Linked DNA regions of Sus scrofa. The protein of the gene in region 4 purifies or fractionates together with the protein of the main gene of each other region. This does not show direct contact. Links are inferred from orthologs where the notes say so. Each region holds a gene or a part of one and is shown on either strand. Other genes may lie near its edges.

Region 1 (3,566 bases), on a different chromosome or scaffold from region 4:
CCTTCTGGCTCTGGCTTTTCGCAGGCTCCGCACTGGCCTCTTTGGGTTCATGGTCTTGCTCCTTGTGGGACGGCAGAGTGTTCTTAATTGTGTTAATGAGAAATCTCTTATTGGTACCAGCAAGAGGACACTTCATCCTGGGGGGAAACAGGACAGGCACACATCAAACACTGACTCCAGAGCTGAGCCCACGGAGCAGCAAAGAAAGCGGCTTCCACAGAAGCAAGTTTCCCGACTTGTGAGCTTCCCTTGCGTGCCACCTAGTGTAAACTCCGAGTACAGGGCAAGGAGAGCCTGCGGAGACCCGCGGGCCCTTCTCCCAAGACTTCAGAGGCGACGAGCCCCGACCCTACCAGAGGGTGTGTACAGGTACTGACCACAGCGCCGACTGCCTGAGTCGTTTAACACTGTCTCCTTACACCCCAAGTCCCTGATTTGACCGTCATCCGCATTTCGAGTTAAATTTTGTGGCGGCTTGTTTTTAAATATCAAAGAGCAAAAATAAGTCCCTCCCGGAGGAAACGAGCTACCGTAGAAACAGAAGCTGTCTAAAGACTCCATGAGGCTGCAGTAACCTCATTCACCCTCTGAAAGGCTCACACTTTCTGCTCTGAGACTGTGTGTTGAGTTTGCCTTGTCAGCGAGCCTTTTCCCACGTCCACCCCGAGGGAGGTTCTGTGCTGCCTCCGTTTCAGTGGTGTCATGATTCAAGTTCACCCGGAAGGAAGGGTGCAACCAGGCACAGCATAGTTTACATGCTTTGCTCTGCTTGCACACTCAGGATGTTTGATTTTTCAGGTGTAGTAAATCTTTCATTTTAGGAAAGACAACCCCAGACAAATAAAACCTGAGTATTTCTCTTGGCCTTGAGCCATCTGCCTGTACGCAGGGCTATTTTAGGAGGATGCTGATCCTGCAGATGGTGTTACTCAGGGAGGCTGGTGTTGAACAAAAGTGAATGTAGGCGTCCGTGATCTCCATGCCTCTATCAAACTGCGATTCAAGGCGAATCCCACGTAACACGGGCACGCACTGCAGTGACTTTCTGGCCTGCCCTCGTGGGGGAGAGACCAAACTGCTCACCAGCCTAGTGCCCCGTGTTCCGAGGTCAGGCCCCCTCAGGCAACCAGAATGGCACTGAATCTGGAAGGAAAAGGAGGAGGAGAAAGACAGGAAAATGTCTCCTGCTGCAAATAAGCTGTCTCGCACCCAGCAGGTATCAGGCGTGGCAGGCGTGGGGCTCGGAGGTCGAAGCCCGATGTCTGGTGGTGGCGGCCCTGGGGCTTTGGTTTGCTTTCCTTTTCCGGCTGGAGTTTAAAAGCCACAATGAATGAGGTAGGAGCAAAGAAGAAAGGCAACAGCAAAAGAGCAGAGAAAATGCTTCTGCAAGGACAGGACACACACTGTTGGACTCCCTGCAGCCCCGAGGGCTTCACTTGTCTTCCAGAAAAGTACACTGGCTTGATGCTGCCTCAGGCATGGCCAGGCATACAAGGCATAGCCAGGTGTGCCCTGCAGAGGTACAGCCCTAGGACCCTCTGTTCAGTTAGGAGGGCCAGCCAGCCTCTTCCCTCGGTGACCAGGTTAGGTTATCACTGAATTCAGGCATCGATGGGGTGACGATCCTTGAGCCACCGCATTGCAAACTTAGCAAAAAATCAAGAGAGCAGGACGCACTGGTGTGTTATAGCAAACACAACCTCAGTAGCCTGCGGGAGGAGGCTGCCCTTCATTGTGGAACAAAAGAGCAGGAAAAGCCGAGCGGCCCTCTCTGCCAGCTCTGGCTCAGGCTTCCTGCAGGACCACCATCTCCCCTGGGCGTGGCGGGCCAGCCGGGGAAAGCCAGCCGGCTTCAGAAGAACCGTGGGGCGTTTTCAGTGCAGTGGCTCATCAGGGCTGGAAAAACTGCTCAGCTCCTCTCTGGAATAAATGAGTAAGGAAGGGGATTATTGCCAGGCGGTGCAATAACCCAGGATCTTAAAACCTTTGGAAACTGCTGGTGAATTGGACGTGTTTCACCACCTTCCACATGAGGCCATCTTTAATACCACGTGTGCGCCTGAGATGGAGTGCGGTCTTCTTCAGCTGGAAAACTGCAGGCTTCGTGCTGAGAGGGGGCCATGTGTCAGAGGAGGTGTCCTGGCTTCCTGCTGCATGTGTAACCCATCGACTCAACATGGGCACCAAAAGAGCTATTCTTTTTTTTTTTTTTTTTTGGTCTTTTTAGGGCCACACCTGTGGCATATGGAGGTTCCCAGGCTAGGGGTCTAGTCGGAGCTGTAGCTGCTGGCCTACAGCACAGCCACAGCAACGCCAGATCCTTAACCCGCTGAGCAAGGCCAGGGATCAAACCTGTGTCCTCATGGATGCTCGTCAGATTCATTTCCACTGAGCCATGATGGGAACTCCCCCATCTCCAGCATCAAGCCAGTGTACTTTCCTGGAAGACAAGCAAAGCCCTGGGGGCTGCAGGGAGCCCAACAGTGTGTGTCCTGTCCTTGCAGAAGCGTTTTCTCTTTGCTGTTGCCTTTCTTCTTTGCTCCTCATCTCATTCACTGTGGTTTTAAACTCCAGCCGGAAAAGGAAAGCAAACCAAACCCCCAGGGCCGCCACCACCTGACGTCGGGCTGCATCCACCACACCCCACGTCCTTTTCCCTCTAGTCAGATTTGTTTCTGCTGAGCCATGATGGGAGCTCCAAAAGAGCTATTCTGGAATGAGATGGTTTTCTAGAAGAAAGTCCACAAGAAAACTGGCTTTGACATCTCTTTAACATCAGAGATGCCAGTGTTGGGAGAAAAAAAACAAACAAAACATCAGAGGTGCAACTTTTAATGCTGGCTGTGCCTGGGGTTCTATTCAAGGTGAAACGTGGAGGATGGCTTGGCGAGAACTCGGTTTTCTTGGAGTGGGGTATGAAAGCGACTCTTTCCAAGCATGTTGGTGCAGGACGCATCTTAGAGATGAAGAAAAGTGCCCGCCCACACGCATTAATAAATGGGGGGGCAGTTGCGGGCGACTGAAGGGGCATATGTAGTAAATGGCTCCACGCTCGGGCATTAAGAGACGGAGCGTGAGGCTGAGGAGCTCACTGGCAGGGCCGGCTCAGGCCTTTAATGTGGCCATCAACTCACCGCCAGCCAGTGGATTGCTGCAAACCCCGTGCAACACAGTTTATCCACGTGCTCTGGAGTCATGCGATCCACCAGACCGAGCCCTGGGCCTGGTAAATCATCTTCCGTTGCCTCTCATCTTTTAATAGTGGATAATAATGGAGACGGTTTGGGAGGCTTGGATGCAGCTCAGAGGGTGAGGGCATGCGCTCAGGACAATGCCCGATGCCTGACAAGCACCTGGTAAAGTGTAGCCCTTTAGCCTCAGTAAAACGTGTCCTACTCCCACAGCCGAATTAGCTTGGGGCCAAGGGAAGGTTACATCAGTTTTCTCTTTGTAAACAGAAGTAACAGAAGCGCCTCCCTGTTGCGAGGATTTAAGGAGATGGTGTCTGAAGCGCCTTGCACAGTGCCTGGCACGTAGTCGAGCTCCGGTGAGTGGTACCTCCCGAC
Region 2 (3,566 bases), on a different chromosome or scaffold from region 4:
GAACTCCTGTTTTCAAAATGTTAATTTAACTTTCTAACATATATAAAAATCACATGATTTCAGGTTACATCATAATTGTTGAAGCTAATATCGGTGACTCAAGTAGATCTTAAATTATAATATTAGCAAGGGCTACTATAGTCTTCAAGGGCAATAGAAAAGGAACTAAATAGCTGTTGAAGAAACTACATCAGACACTGCCATACTGCACTAGGCATCCTCTGGTTTGTGCAAAAACCAGAGATGTTATTGTCCACAATTTACAGAGGAAAGGAAGAAATAAAGGTTTCTAAAATTTAGAAAGTGAATACTGGAGTTCCCGTTGTGGCGCATCGGAAACAAATCCAACTAGGAACCATGAGGTTGCGGGTTTGATCCCTGGCCTCACTCAGGGGTTAAGGATCCCACATTGCCGTGAGCTGTGGCGTAGATCACAGATGAGTCTTGGATCCTGAGTTGCTGTGGCTGTGGCGTAGGCCAGCAACAACAGCTCCAATTAGACCCCTAGTCTGGGAACCTCCATATGCTGATGCTGCGGCCCTAAAAAGACAAAAAAAAAAAAAAAAAAAAAAAGAAAGTGAATATTAAAAAAAAAAACCCTTAAGTTTGCACTGAGGGTTTGGGACAGAAATGCTATAAAATTGGGTTGTAATGATCATTGTACAACTAAAACAAACAAACAAAAAAGCCCTTAAGTTTTAAGTTTTAATTTATTTATTTTGAATGAATAATACATTCACATGATTCAGAATTTGGACATTTCTTTCCATCCCTACCCACAGCCATCTGGTCCCTGTCTCCCTTCAGGCAACAAAAGCATCACTCCTGAGTGTCCTTCAAGCCTATGTACATTACACACACACACACACATTTTTTACATTTTTTTCCCCTTTTAACACAAATGGCTGCATACTCTCCTGACTGATCCATACCCTGGGAAGCCAGGATCTCAGTTCCTATATCTGGTCCTAAAGACGATGGTTTTTTTCTGCTTGTTCCTGCACATGCTTACCTTTATTTCCCGCATCCTCTATGATTTGATATACTAGTTTCTCTTGATTATCTGATCCTTTCATTTTACTGCAGGGGAATAAAGTAGAATTAAAAAGGCAAAGAGGTACAGGATAATCTAATAATCTACACAACTAAATGAATCAGCAGACAAGGTCATCACATTTACTGATTTACCAAAAGAAGGGCTTACCTTAAAAAGAATGAGACAGGGCTGTATGTACCAGAATGAAAAGATGTCCATGATATAGTAAGTGAAAAAAACAAGTTGCAAAACAGTATGGATAGCATGATCCAATTTTTGTTTAAAAAAAAAAAAAAAAGAAAAGAGATTATATATAAATATATGGAATATAAATATATAATCGTCTATATGTATTTACATATACCTATAAGAGATTATATATAAATATATGGAATATAAATATATAATCATCTATATGTATTTACATATACCTATAAGAAAGATATATACCACTATATTAATAAGAGCAGTTATCTCTGGGAAATGGAACTCATGATGGGAGGTGAGATGATTATGTAGGACAGATTTACATTATGCTTTACTTTATGCTGCACTGGCTCCCCCACCCCCCAGATTTATACTCCTTTCATGATATTAAAATTTTCTTAAAATAAAAAATTAGGTGCTTACCCAGCATTCTGAGAGTCCTTTATTCTATACAGAAGGCCTGTATTGCTTCTTAAGAGATCCAACTGACCCTAAAGTTGTTTGTTTGTTTGTTTTTAAAAGAAAATAGCAGTGAGTTATTTGGGAGATAGATCAAATCCAATGATAAACACATTAATATATTCTTCAATAGTTTATATGGATTAAAATATCCTACCTCCCATAGTTATTTGTCAGTTTCTCACTTGAGACTTAAGCTTCTTCCTACGTATCACATGTGATATATTTTTAAGAACTTAGCTCTTTATCTCATCATTTCCCAAAACATTAATACCTAATAATTTTCTACATGCTTGATCCTGGCTTGGTTATATGATCAATGCTTTAAAGAATTTTAAACAAAAGTCAGAATAACAAATAAAAATCCATATTCAAGCAAATTCAGTTAAGTGTATCAAATATAAATACAATAATTTACCTAAAATGTTCAAATAAAAGCTAAACATGCAAAAATAGTCTATGAAAGTGATGAAGTAAAATTTACAAAGTTAATAGTAACATTTACTGATGTGTGTGATTTCTGAAATGTTACATGAAAATTAGGTGGAAAAGTCGACCAGTGAATAAAAGGCTTGCAGTAGTTTTGTTTTTATACAAGTCAAAAGTAAAATAAAGCATGTCTGTCATGCTTCTGCATTTCTCTGGTTCTGAACTTGGAAGAACCCAGATGGCTGACCACTGGGCTGTCAGCAGTTCAGGGAAGTATGGCTAAGAGAAGCCCCGTTTCCATGGGTTAAGGCCAAGCAGACCCATGACCTGGAATCAGGTTTACATAAATGGCTTAACAGCAATACTTTCCTCCCACTCCGGCCCCAGAAGTGGAAAAATTGAACCACAAAGGCCAATCTGAAGGCTCCATGAAAACTGTCCTGGATATTTTTGATGTGAACTGCATTAAATCTTCAGACTGCTTTGAGTAACAGGGATATTTTAATTATATCTAGTCCATGAACATGGGACATCTTTCCATTTCTTTGTAGTATCTTCCATTTCCTTCATCAGTGTTTTACAGTTTTCAGAGTTAGGTCTTTCACCTCCTTGGTTAAGTTTATTCCTAAGTATTTTATTCTTTTTATGTGATTTTTAAGTGAGATTTTCTTGTTTCCTCTTTTTGATAGTTCATTATCAGTGTATAGAAAAGCAATAGATGTCCAGATATTAATCTTGATCCTGTGACTTTACTGAATTCATTTATTAGTTCTAATAGTTTAGGGTTTTTTTGAATGCACCTGCAGCACAGGGAGGTTCCTAGGCCAGAGACTGAACCTGTGCCACAGCAATGACAACACAAGAACTTTAACCCACTGAGGCACAAGGGAACTCTCAGTTCTAAAAGTTTTTTTTGTTTTGTTTTGTTTTGTTTTTGTTTTTTGCTTTTTAGGGCCACACCCATGGCATATCGAAGTTCCCAGGCTAGGGGTCAAATCGGAGCTACAGCTGCCAGCCTACGCCACAGCCACAGCAACTCGGGATCTGAGACTTGTCTGGGACCTACACCACAGCTCACAGCAATGCTGGATCTTTAACCCCATTGAGTGAGGTAAGGGATTGAACCCATGTCCTCAGGGATCTTAGTAGGGTTCGTTTACCACTGAGCCACGAAAGGAACTCCCTGGCTTTTATTATGTTAAAACACGTTCCCTCTATAACAACTTCAATGAGGCTTTTTTTTTTTATTATGAATGGATGTTCAATTTTGTCAAATGCTTTTTCATGATCATACTGACAGTGTCACATGATTTTTAGCCTTCCTTTTGTTAATGTATTACACTGATTTATTTGTGCATACTGAATATTTTCACATCCTTAGAATAAATCCCATTTGATCATGCTGTATGATCCTTTCTGTGTATTGTTGAACTCA
Region 3 (4,285 bases), about 6.8 Mb from region 4:
TTTCACTGCAGTGGCCTGGGTTGCTGCTGTGGCTCGGGTTCAATCCCTGGCCCAGGAACTTCCACATGCCACGGTGGGCATGGCCAAAGATAAAATAAACTAAACTATGGCGAATGAATGAAACTATCTGCAAAACAGAAAGAGGCTCACAGACACAGAGAACAGACTTGAGGTCGCCAAGGGGAAGGGGGCTGGGAAAGAGACGGAGCAGGAGGTTGGGGTTAGCAAATGTAAGCTATTATACATAGAATGGATAAACAACAGGGAGCTATATTCAATATCCTATGATAAACCATAGGAAAAGTATATTTTAAAAAGAATGTGTGTTTATAACTGAATCACTTTGCTGTGCAGCAGAAATTAACACAATATGGAAAATCAACTACACTGCAATGGGAGTTCCTGTTGTGGCACAGCGGAAACAAATCTAACTGGTAACCATGAGGTTGCCGGTTCGATCCCTGACCTCACTCAGTGGTTAAGGATCTGGCGTTGCCGTGAGCTGTGGTGTAGGCTGCAGACACGGCTCAGATTCTGCATTGTTGTGGTTGTGGCATAGGCCGGCAACTGTAGCTCCAATTAGATGCCTAGAATGGGTACTTCTATATGCCAGGGTTGTGGCCGTAAAAAGCAAACAAACAAACAAAAACTATACTGCAGTAAGAAATGACAAAACAGGAGTTCCCGTCGTGGTGCAGTGGTTAACGAATCCGACTAGGAACCATGAGGTTGCGGGTTCGGTCCCTGCCCTTGCTCAGTGGGTTAAGGGTCTGGCGTTGCCGTGAGCTGTGGTGTAGGTCGAAGACGTGGCTCGGATCCCGCGTTGCTGTGGCTCTGGTGTAGGCCGGTGGCTACAGCTCCGATTCAACCCCTAGCCTGGGAACCTCCATATGCCGCGGGCGCGGCCCAAGAAATAGCAAAAAGACAAAAAAAAAAAAAAAAAAGAAAGAAAAGAAATGACAAAACAAGACACTGCAGTGTAGAGTTCACTTGTAGGGCAGTGGGTTAAGGATCTGGCATTGTCACTGCAGTGGCTGGGATAGCTGCTGTGGCTTGGGTTCCATCTCTGACCCAGGGAACTTTCACATGCCACAGGCATGGCCAAAACCAAACAGACAAGGAACACCCCCCCCCCGCAGTGTATTTCCACGAAGGCTGTGTACTGTACAGATTTGTATGGGGCCCACTTCTACCACTTAGCAGCCCATGGCCTTAGACAAGGTATGGAATTCTTTTTTTTTTTTTTTTGTCTTTTTGCCATTTCTTGGGCCGCTCTCGCAGCATATGGAGGTTCCCAGGCTAGGGGTCTAATTGGAGCTGTAGCCGCCATCCTACACCACAGCCACAGCAACGCTGGATCCGAGCCGCATCTGCAACCTACACCACAGCTCACGGCAACGCCAGATCCTAAACCCACTGAGCAAGGCCAAGGATCGAACCCGCAATCTCATGGTTCCTAGTCGGATTCGTTAACCACTGCGCCACAACGGGAACTCCAAGGTATGAAATTCTTTTAGTCCAAGCCCATGTTAGCTATCACATGAAGATGAGTGAGACTGGAATGTGGTGAGACAGAACAAACCAGGGCTGGAGGAGTGGACAATGACAAGACCACGCAGGGCCTTGTGAGCTATGATAAAGATTTTGGACCTTATTGCTAATTCAAAAGTAAATCAGTAAGGGTTTTTTGGTTTTTGGTTGTTTTTTTTTTGTCCCAATTTATTATCCCTTTTCAATTGAGATGTAATCTGAATTACAAGTAAATGCAAAGATCTTAAGTCTTGAGGTCGACGAGTTTTGACAACTGTCTACACCTGTGTAACCACCGGCAAAAAGAAGATACAGAACATTTCTATCATCCTATAAAGGTCTCGCCTGCTCCTTTCCAGCCCAGTGTCCCCGATTCCAGAGTATTGAAGGGTCTAGGCATACTGTGTTTGCATTTGGAAGGGCCGGCTGCAGCGTCGAGGTAGGCCTGAGCCAGGAGAGTACTGCACAGGTCAAGCAGAGATGGCCCGGTGGCACAGAGGTCGCCTAGCAACCTGAAAGCGTTGCCTGGGATTGACGATTCCACGCAGGCGGAAGGGGTGGCCCCGTCCCGAGCAGACCGGTACGTAGCCCCGCCTCGCGACGGGGCGGACCGAAGCTTCTTATTGGTCGGTCTCCCGGAAGCTACCGGATTTGGACTATCGTCCGTAGTAGTGCTGCTGGCGTGGGTCCGCGGTGCGTGGCGGAGGCACGTGGTGCGTAGTGCGTGGTGTGTGTGGCTTGACTGGGCTGCGCGCCCCTCCCGCGCGACCAGGAGGTCCTCCCCGTGGAGCCTCAGCTTCCTCTGCTTGCAGTAGAGGAGCACGCCCCTTACGGAGATACCCTAGGCCCCGGCTTCCAGCTCCGTTGCCGACCTGGGGGGCTCCGGGACTGGGACCGACAGAGCGGGCTCCGGCATCCCCGCCGCCCCGTCAGCGACTGGGACCGACAGAGCGGGCCCCGGCATCCCCGCCGCCCCAGGTGTCTGTGCGTGACTGACACTCGCGTTCCCAGAGTCCCCCGCGCAGGCGGGATGTTTGTCCTGGTGGAGATGGTTGACACCGTGCGGATACCCCCGTGGCAGTTTGAGAGGAAGCTCAACGACTCTATTGCCGAGGAGCTGAACAAGAAATTGGCCAACAAGGTACTGACTGGGTCCATGGGGTCGCTGGCCGGCCTTGGCCGGAGAGGGCCCAGCGCTGCTTACTTGCCCGCTTTCGGCCTGTCGGTGCCAAGCCTCGGCCTTGGGCAAGTAGCCTAACGTCTCAGAGCTCGGTTTCTTCACCTGTGCATGGGATAGGGGTAATCCTTACCCCACAAGAATGTTGGAGGGAATCAAAAGAAAAACTGGGCTTGAAAAAAAGGCCGTCGTGGAGTTGCCGTCATGGCTTAGCGGAAACGAACCTGACTAGTATCCTTGAGGACACAAGTTCGATCCCTGGCCGCAGTGGGTTAAGGATCCAGCGTTGCTGTGAGCTGTGGTGTAGGTCGGAGACGCGGCTTGAATCTGACGTTGCTGTGGCTGTGGTGTAGGCTCCGATTTGACCCCTAGCCTGGGAACTTCCATATGCCGCGGGTGCAAAATAACCAAAAAGGGGGGGGGGGAAGGGGGAAGGCCGCTGCAAGTGGGACCCTTCCGAATTATTTTGCTTTTTTTTTTTTTGCTTTTTTAGGGCCTCATTCGCGGCATATGGAGGTTCCCAGCCTAGGCGTTGAATCAGCTACAGCTGCCGGATCTACGCCACAACCACAGCAACCAGATCCCAGCCGCCGTCTGCAACCTACACCACAACTGCAACGGTGTATTCTTAACCTGCTGAGCAAGGCCAGGGATCACACCTGCAACCTCATGGTTCCTAGTTGGATTCATTTCCGCTGCGCCACGATGGGAACTCCTTACTTTGCAGTTTGGGGCAGGTCATTTACCCCATTTGGGCTTCAGTTTCCATATGTAAAGTGGAAATAATAATTGCTGTCCAACCATCCATTGTTTCTGGGAAGGTGGATGGTAGTTTAAAGTTGGCTGTCACGTTTATTTCTGCAAAAGAACGCTTGTGCACCTTTTATGTGCCAGGCCTGCATGCCTTAGTGCCAAGTCGTCAGAGGCCTTCCCACTGCCTTTTCTTTTCTTTTTTTGCATTTTAGGGCCACACCCATGGCATATGGAAGTTCCCAGGCTAGGGGTTGAATCAGAGCTGCAGCTGCCAGCCTACACAGCCACAGCAACAAGGGATCCGAGCCATGTCTGGGACCTACACCACAGCTCACAGCAACACCGGATCCTTAACCCTCTGAGTGAGGCCAGGGATCAAACCCAAGTCCTCATGGTTACTAGTCGGGTTCGTCAGCACTGAGCCGCAGCAGTAACTCCCTCTCATTTTTTTTTTTGCTGGCCCGGCCCTCGGCGTGCTGAAGTTGGCAGGCCAGGGATTGAACCTGTGCCACAGTAGTGACAATTCCAGGTCCTTAGCCCCTGAGGTAGTAGGGAATTCCTGTTTAGTTGATTTCTGTTTTTCTCTTTCCCTCTCCATGAGAGCATGAACTCTTGTCTTCTTCCCCTCTGTCCCCCATATTTACGTAAGTGTTTATTGAACGAATAAAAGACAAGCTTTTGCTCTGTAGTCTCGTGGGAAAAGCAGATGTGAGCAAGCGATTCCCACAGTTGAGTGTCTTTAGACAAATTGAGCTAAATGCTATGAAAACAGGTGTTCGCGAACCCATGGAATGACAGAATTTCACCTGCAGTGAGGGAGACAAG
Region 4 (3,566 bases):
GCATCAGCCCAAGGAGCTGACCTCCAATTTTCCCATTCCTTCTTTTGAAAAACTCTTTCTACCTGTTTCCAAGGCGCGGCCGATACGTACGTGATGGGCACATCTTTGTACTGCGGCTGCTGTGGAACATTACTTCCTTCCAAGGGGATCTGAGTCACTGTGGGCATGGACTTATTGACAAGCACTTGCTTGTTCTCCACTTTCTCACCTGAGAGAGAGAGAAGGGTGTTCGACACACCACTGTCAGCTGCGTGGAATGCAAAGATTACCAAGGCATCAAACCATGTGATTAGACTTGGTGCACGAAACCCAGACATGGAAGGAAAAAAAAAATGTCCACGCAGTGGGAACTAGACATCAGCAGGGCTTCTTTGTAATTCTGCAAGCTTTTTGAGAAAGTCATAGATTAAGATCACAGTGTGTAAAAAATTAAGAAACTGATTTAGAGGGGCCACATTAATGAGAGAACATTCATGTCAGCAGTGGCAATTTAAAATATCTCTTAGAGAGTTCCCTTCGTGGCGCAGCGGAAATGAATCTGACTGGAACCATGAGGTTGCTGGTTCGTTCCCTGGCCTCACTCTGTGGGCTAAGGATCTGGTGTTGCTGTGAGCTGTGGTGTAGGTAAACAGACGTGGCTCGGATCCCGTGTTGCTGTGGCTGTGGCACAGGCCGGTGGCTATAGCTCCAATTGGACCCCTAGCCTGGGAACCTCCATATGCCGCAACTGCGGCCCTAAAAAGCAAAAATAAAATAAAATATCTTTTAGGATATTAGATCAGGTTTGGTCTACTTAATGGTTATTTCAACCAGTAATAAGTCACCACCAATCTGACTTGGGCAATGGGGAAATACAAATATTTCTTTGATTTTCCAGCTATGCTGACCTTTGCTTTTCTTGGTAAGCTCAAAGACCAACTACTGCAGCACTGCCACAGCAAGCAAGTTGAGAGTGGAAGAAATTCTCCAAGAAATAAAGGCAGCAAGAGGAGGGGGAAGCCAGGTGCCACATGGCTCGGGCCCCACAGTGGATGCAGCATCACCCCGAAGCATCCACCACCCAGGCATCATCCGTGGCAGGACCCTGTGCATCTCCCTCCAAGCCAGCCCTTCTCTCCACTGCACCATGGCTCCTGTTGCCTGGTCTGACTCGAGAGCTCTCAGTTGGTCCCTGTCTATTCTGGTTTCCTTCTACTCTTTTCTCCACACTGCAGTCAGAATGATCACTGCAAAATGCATATCTGATTGTATCATGGATTTTAGGAACATAGTGAAAATAGTACTGCGTCTGGACCCTACTTCTCCCTCCCTTCCCCACCTCCCTCTCTTCCGTTAGCCACAGAGGCCTCCCTTAGGATCCTTCAGCGATGGGTCAAGCTGCAGGACCCAGGCAGAGCCCTGTCTCCTGCTTAGACGCAGCCCCTCCCTCATCATTAGTTAATCCCACTCAGCCTGCAGCTCTTAGTCACCTCCTGTGGACGGCAACCCCGATCTTCCCGCTTAGGTCAAATCCTCCTGCCATAAAATGGCCTCAGAGCTCCTGGTTGTAACTTGACTTATGTTTGACGTGGTCCTTTGATCAATGTCCGCCTCCCACACTAGCCTACATCGACTCACAAGGGCAGGAGTTGTGGGTTGCACCAAAAAGATTCGCCATGGAGTTCCTGTTGTGACTCAGTGGGTTAAGAACCCAACTAGTGTCCGTGAGGATGCCAGTTCTATTCCTGGCCTTGCTCAGTGGGTTAAGGATCCCGTTTTGCCACAAGCTGTGGTATAGGTCTCAGATGCAGCTTGGATCCCACATTGCTGTGGCTTTGGCATAAGCTGGCAGCTGCAGCTCTGACTCAACCTCTAGCCCAGGAACTTCCATAGGCCATGGATGTGGACATAAAAATTTAAAAAATAATAATAAAAAATTTGTAATTAAGAAAACCCAAGATTCATCACAAATTTGTAACTACAACGGAGTTACACTTTTTAGGGGAAAAAGACTGTAAAGTTAGTCTATAAGCTAAATGAACAAATGATGAAATATCAGTGTAGATGCAGGGACATGATCTTATTCTAAATATTTTCTTAAAGTGATTCAAAATTATAACTAGAAAAGTATAACTAGAATAAATTACTGCTATATAAAAACATAGGCCTAGAAAAACAGACCGGAAGGAAATTCATCAAAAATGACCACACTGCTTGAATTAGGACAGTGGTTTTATAAGCTGCTATTTTTTTCTGCCCTATATACCAAATATTCAAAATACTGTTGAATAATCTTCATAATTTTAAAAAACCCTGTATATTAAAAAAATGTAAAGACCCTTACCTGGAGAACAAATACCATCTGCATCTAAAATTTCATGTCGCCAGATGGGTTTTCTTGTAGCAGCATCCAACACTGGCCCCATCACTTTATCAAAAGTCTGATTGGTATATCGCTTCAATGTACATTTAGCATTTTTATATACAAGGCAACGCCCAAAGCCTAAGATGAAACCAAAATGGGCATCAGAATCACCAGGTGAGAATATGAAACTATGAGAGAGCACAGATCTGTGTTATTCGATAACTCACCCCACTCTACCTTCCTTCCCCCCAAAATAAACACACCAAAAGTGCTCCCTATTTAGACAATCTGAGACTGGCCAAACCAAATAACAATTTGATAACCTGAAGAACTGGCTCAAGATTTCTCCCCTATCCGTTAACCTATTACCTATTGTCCTTATTTATAAACACTGCCATCTCCACAGCCGTTTTTCCACGTGGAATAGACCTCGCCTTTGAGAGCACAGAGAGCAAGGACATGGGAAAATCAGAAAGGGCCTTAGAGATCCCCTGGCATAGCCCCTCTGCCTTACAGGTGCTAAGAGTACGGCACAGAGAAACTAAGTGGCCAAGGTCACCCAGCAAAGTCATGGCTGAGTTGAGACCGACCAAGTCCAATGATCAGGCAGCATCCTTCCCACAAGTCATCTGGGTGCATAACTTCTGCTAACCTTCTCTCGAAAGTTTTCCTTTTTCTCGTTTTGGCATTCAGAGAAAGTCCCACACAATAAACAAACAAACGAACAAAAAATAATTTTCTTCCAGAGAGGAAGGAGAATGAAAAGAAGCAATCAAATGACTTGAATGGGAGACAGTTCCTCTCTGCCCTGAAGATGAGTTTACGTTGACTATATTTTTTAATACATTTATCTCGTGGATGAGGAAAAAGTCCTGGGACCAACTAACAGTCTAAACAACCACTGAATCCCACAAAATACTCATCAGTTGCTCAAAAAGCTGCCAAACCTTCCACACATTTCCCAAGATGCTACGGCTGCATTTCTTTCTTTCTTTCTTCCCCTTTTGCCAAGCTGCTATTTTAAACTGGATTCTCTCTCTAATCTCCCCAGGATATACTGAGCCATGTCAGAGTTCACTGAAATAGGAAAATGTTCTCAGGATTAAACACCAGCTATTACTGAAGAAATAGATGCATGGCTATAAAATCCTTTGCTTATGATTCTCCACCAAAAGCAGAACTCTTTCAAGAAATCTAAGAATGTGAGTTCAGAAAATCAATC

Evidence for each region.
Region 1: the proteins of POLR3B (region 4) and uncharacterized protein LOC106505238 purify together in Homo sapiens (affinity purification with mass spectrometry; 6 studies listed by BioGRID and IntAct, with this or other methods). This does not show direct contact. The link is inferred for Sus scrofa from reciprocal best matches to the Homo sapiens genes POLR3B and POLR1D.
Region 2: the proteins of POLR3B (region 4) and POLR3F fractionate together in Homo sapiens (co-fractionation; 4 studies listed by BioGRID and IntAct, with this or other methods). This does not show direct contact. The link is inferred for Sus scrofa from reciprocal best matches to the Homo sapiens genes POLR3B and POLR3F.
Region 3: the proteins of POLR3B (region 4) and POLR3H purify together in Homo sapiens (affinity purification with mass spectrometry; 8 studies listed by BioGRID and IntAct, with this or other methods). This does not show direct contact. The link is inferred for Sus scrofa from reciprocal best matches to the Homo sapiens genes POLR3B and POLR3H.

What each region holds. Positions count from the first base shown.
Region 1 is NC_010453.5:5,085,821-5,089,386, reverse strand, and holds part of uncharacterized protein LOC106505238, read right to left. Parts: intron 138-3,566; coding exon 1-137.
Region 2 is NC_010459.5:26,725,835-26,729,400, reverse strand, and holds part of POLR3F (DNA-directed RNA polymerase III subunit RPC6), read right to left. Parts: intron 1,735-3,566; coding exon 1,667-1,734; intron 1,226-1,666; coding exon 1,205-1,225; intron 1,081-1,204; coding exon 1,013-1,080; intron 1-1,012. UniProt on the Homo sapiens protein: DNA-dependent RNA polymerase catalyzes the transcription of DNA into RNA using the four ribonucleoside triphosphates as substrates.
Region 3 is NC_010447.5:6,998,220-7,002,504, forward strand, and holds the start of POLR3H (DNA-directed RNA polymerase III subunit RPC8), read left to right. Parts: upstream 1-1,470; 5' UTR 1,471-2,560; coding exon 2,561-2,671; intron 2,672-3,876; exon of another isoform or gene 3,877-4,285.
Region 4 is NC_010447.5:13,843,214-13,846,779, forward strand, and holds part of POLR3B (DNA-directed RNA polymerase III subunit RPC2), read right to left. Parts: intron 2,483-3,566; coding exon 2,324-2,482; intron 209-2,323; coding exon 91-208; intron 1-90. UniProt on the Homo sapiens protein: Catalytic core component of RNA polymerase III (Pol III), a DNA-dependent RNA polymerase which synthesizes small non-coding RNAs using the four ribonucleoside triphosphates as substrates.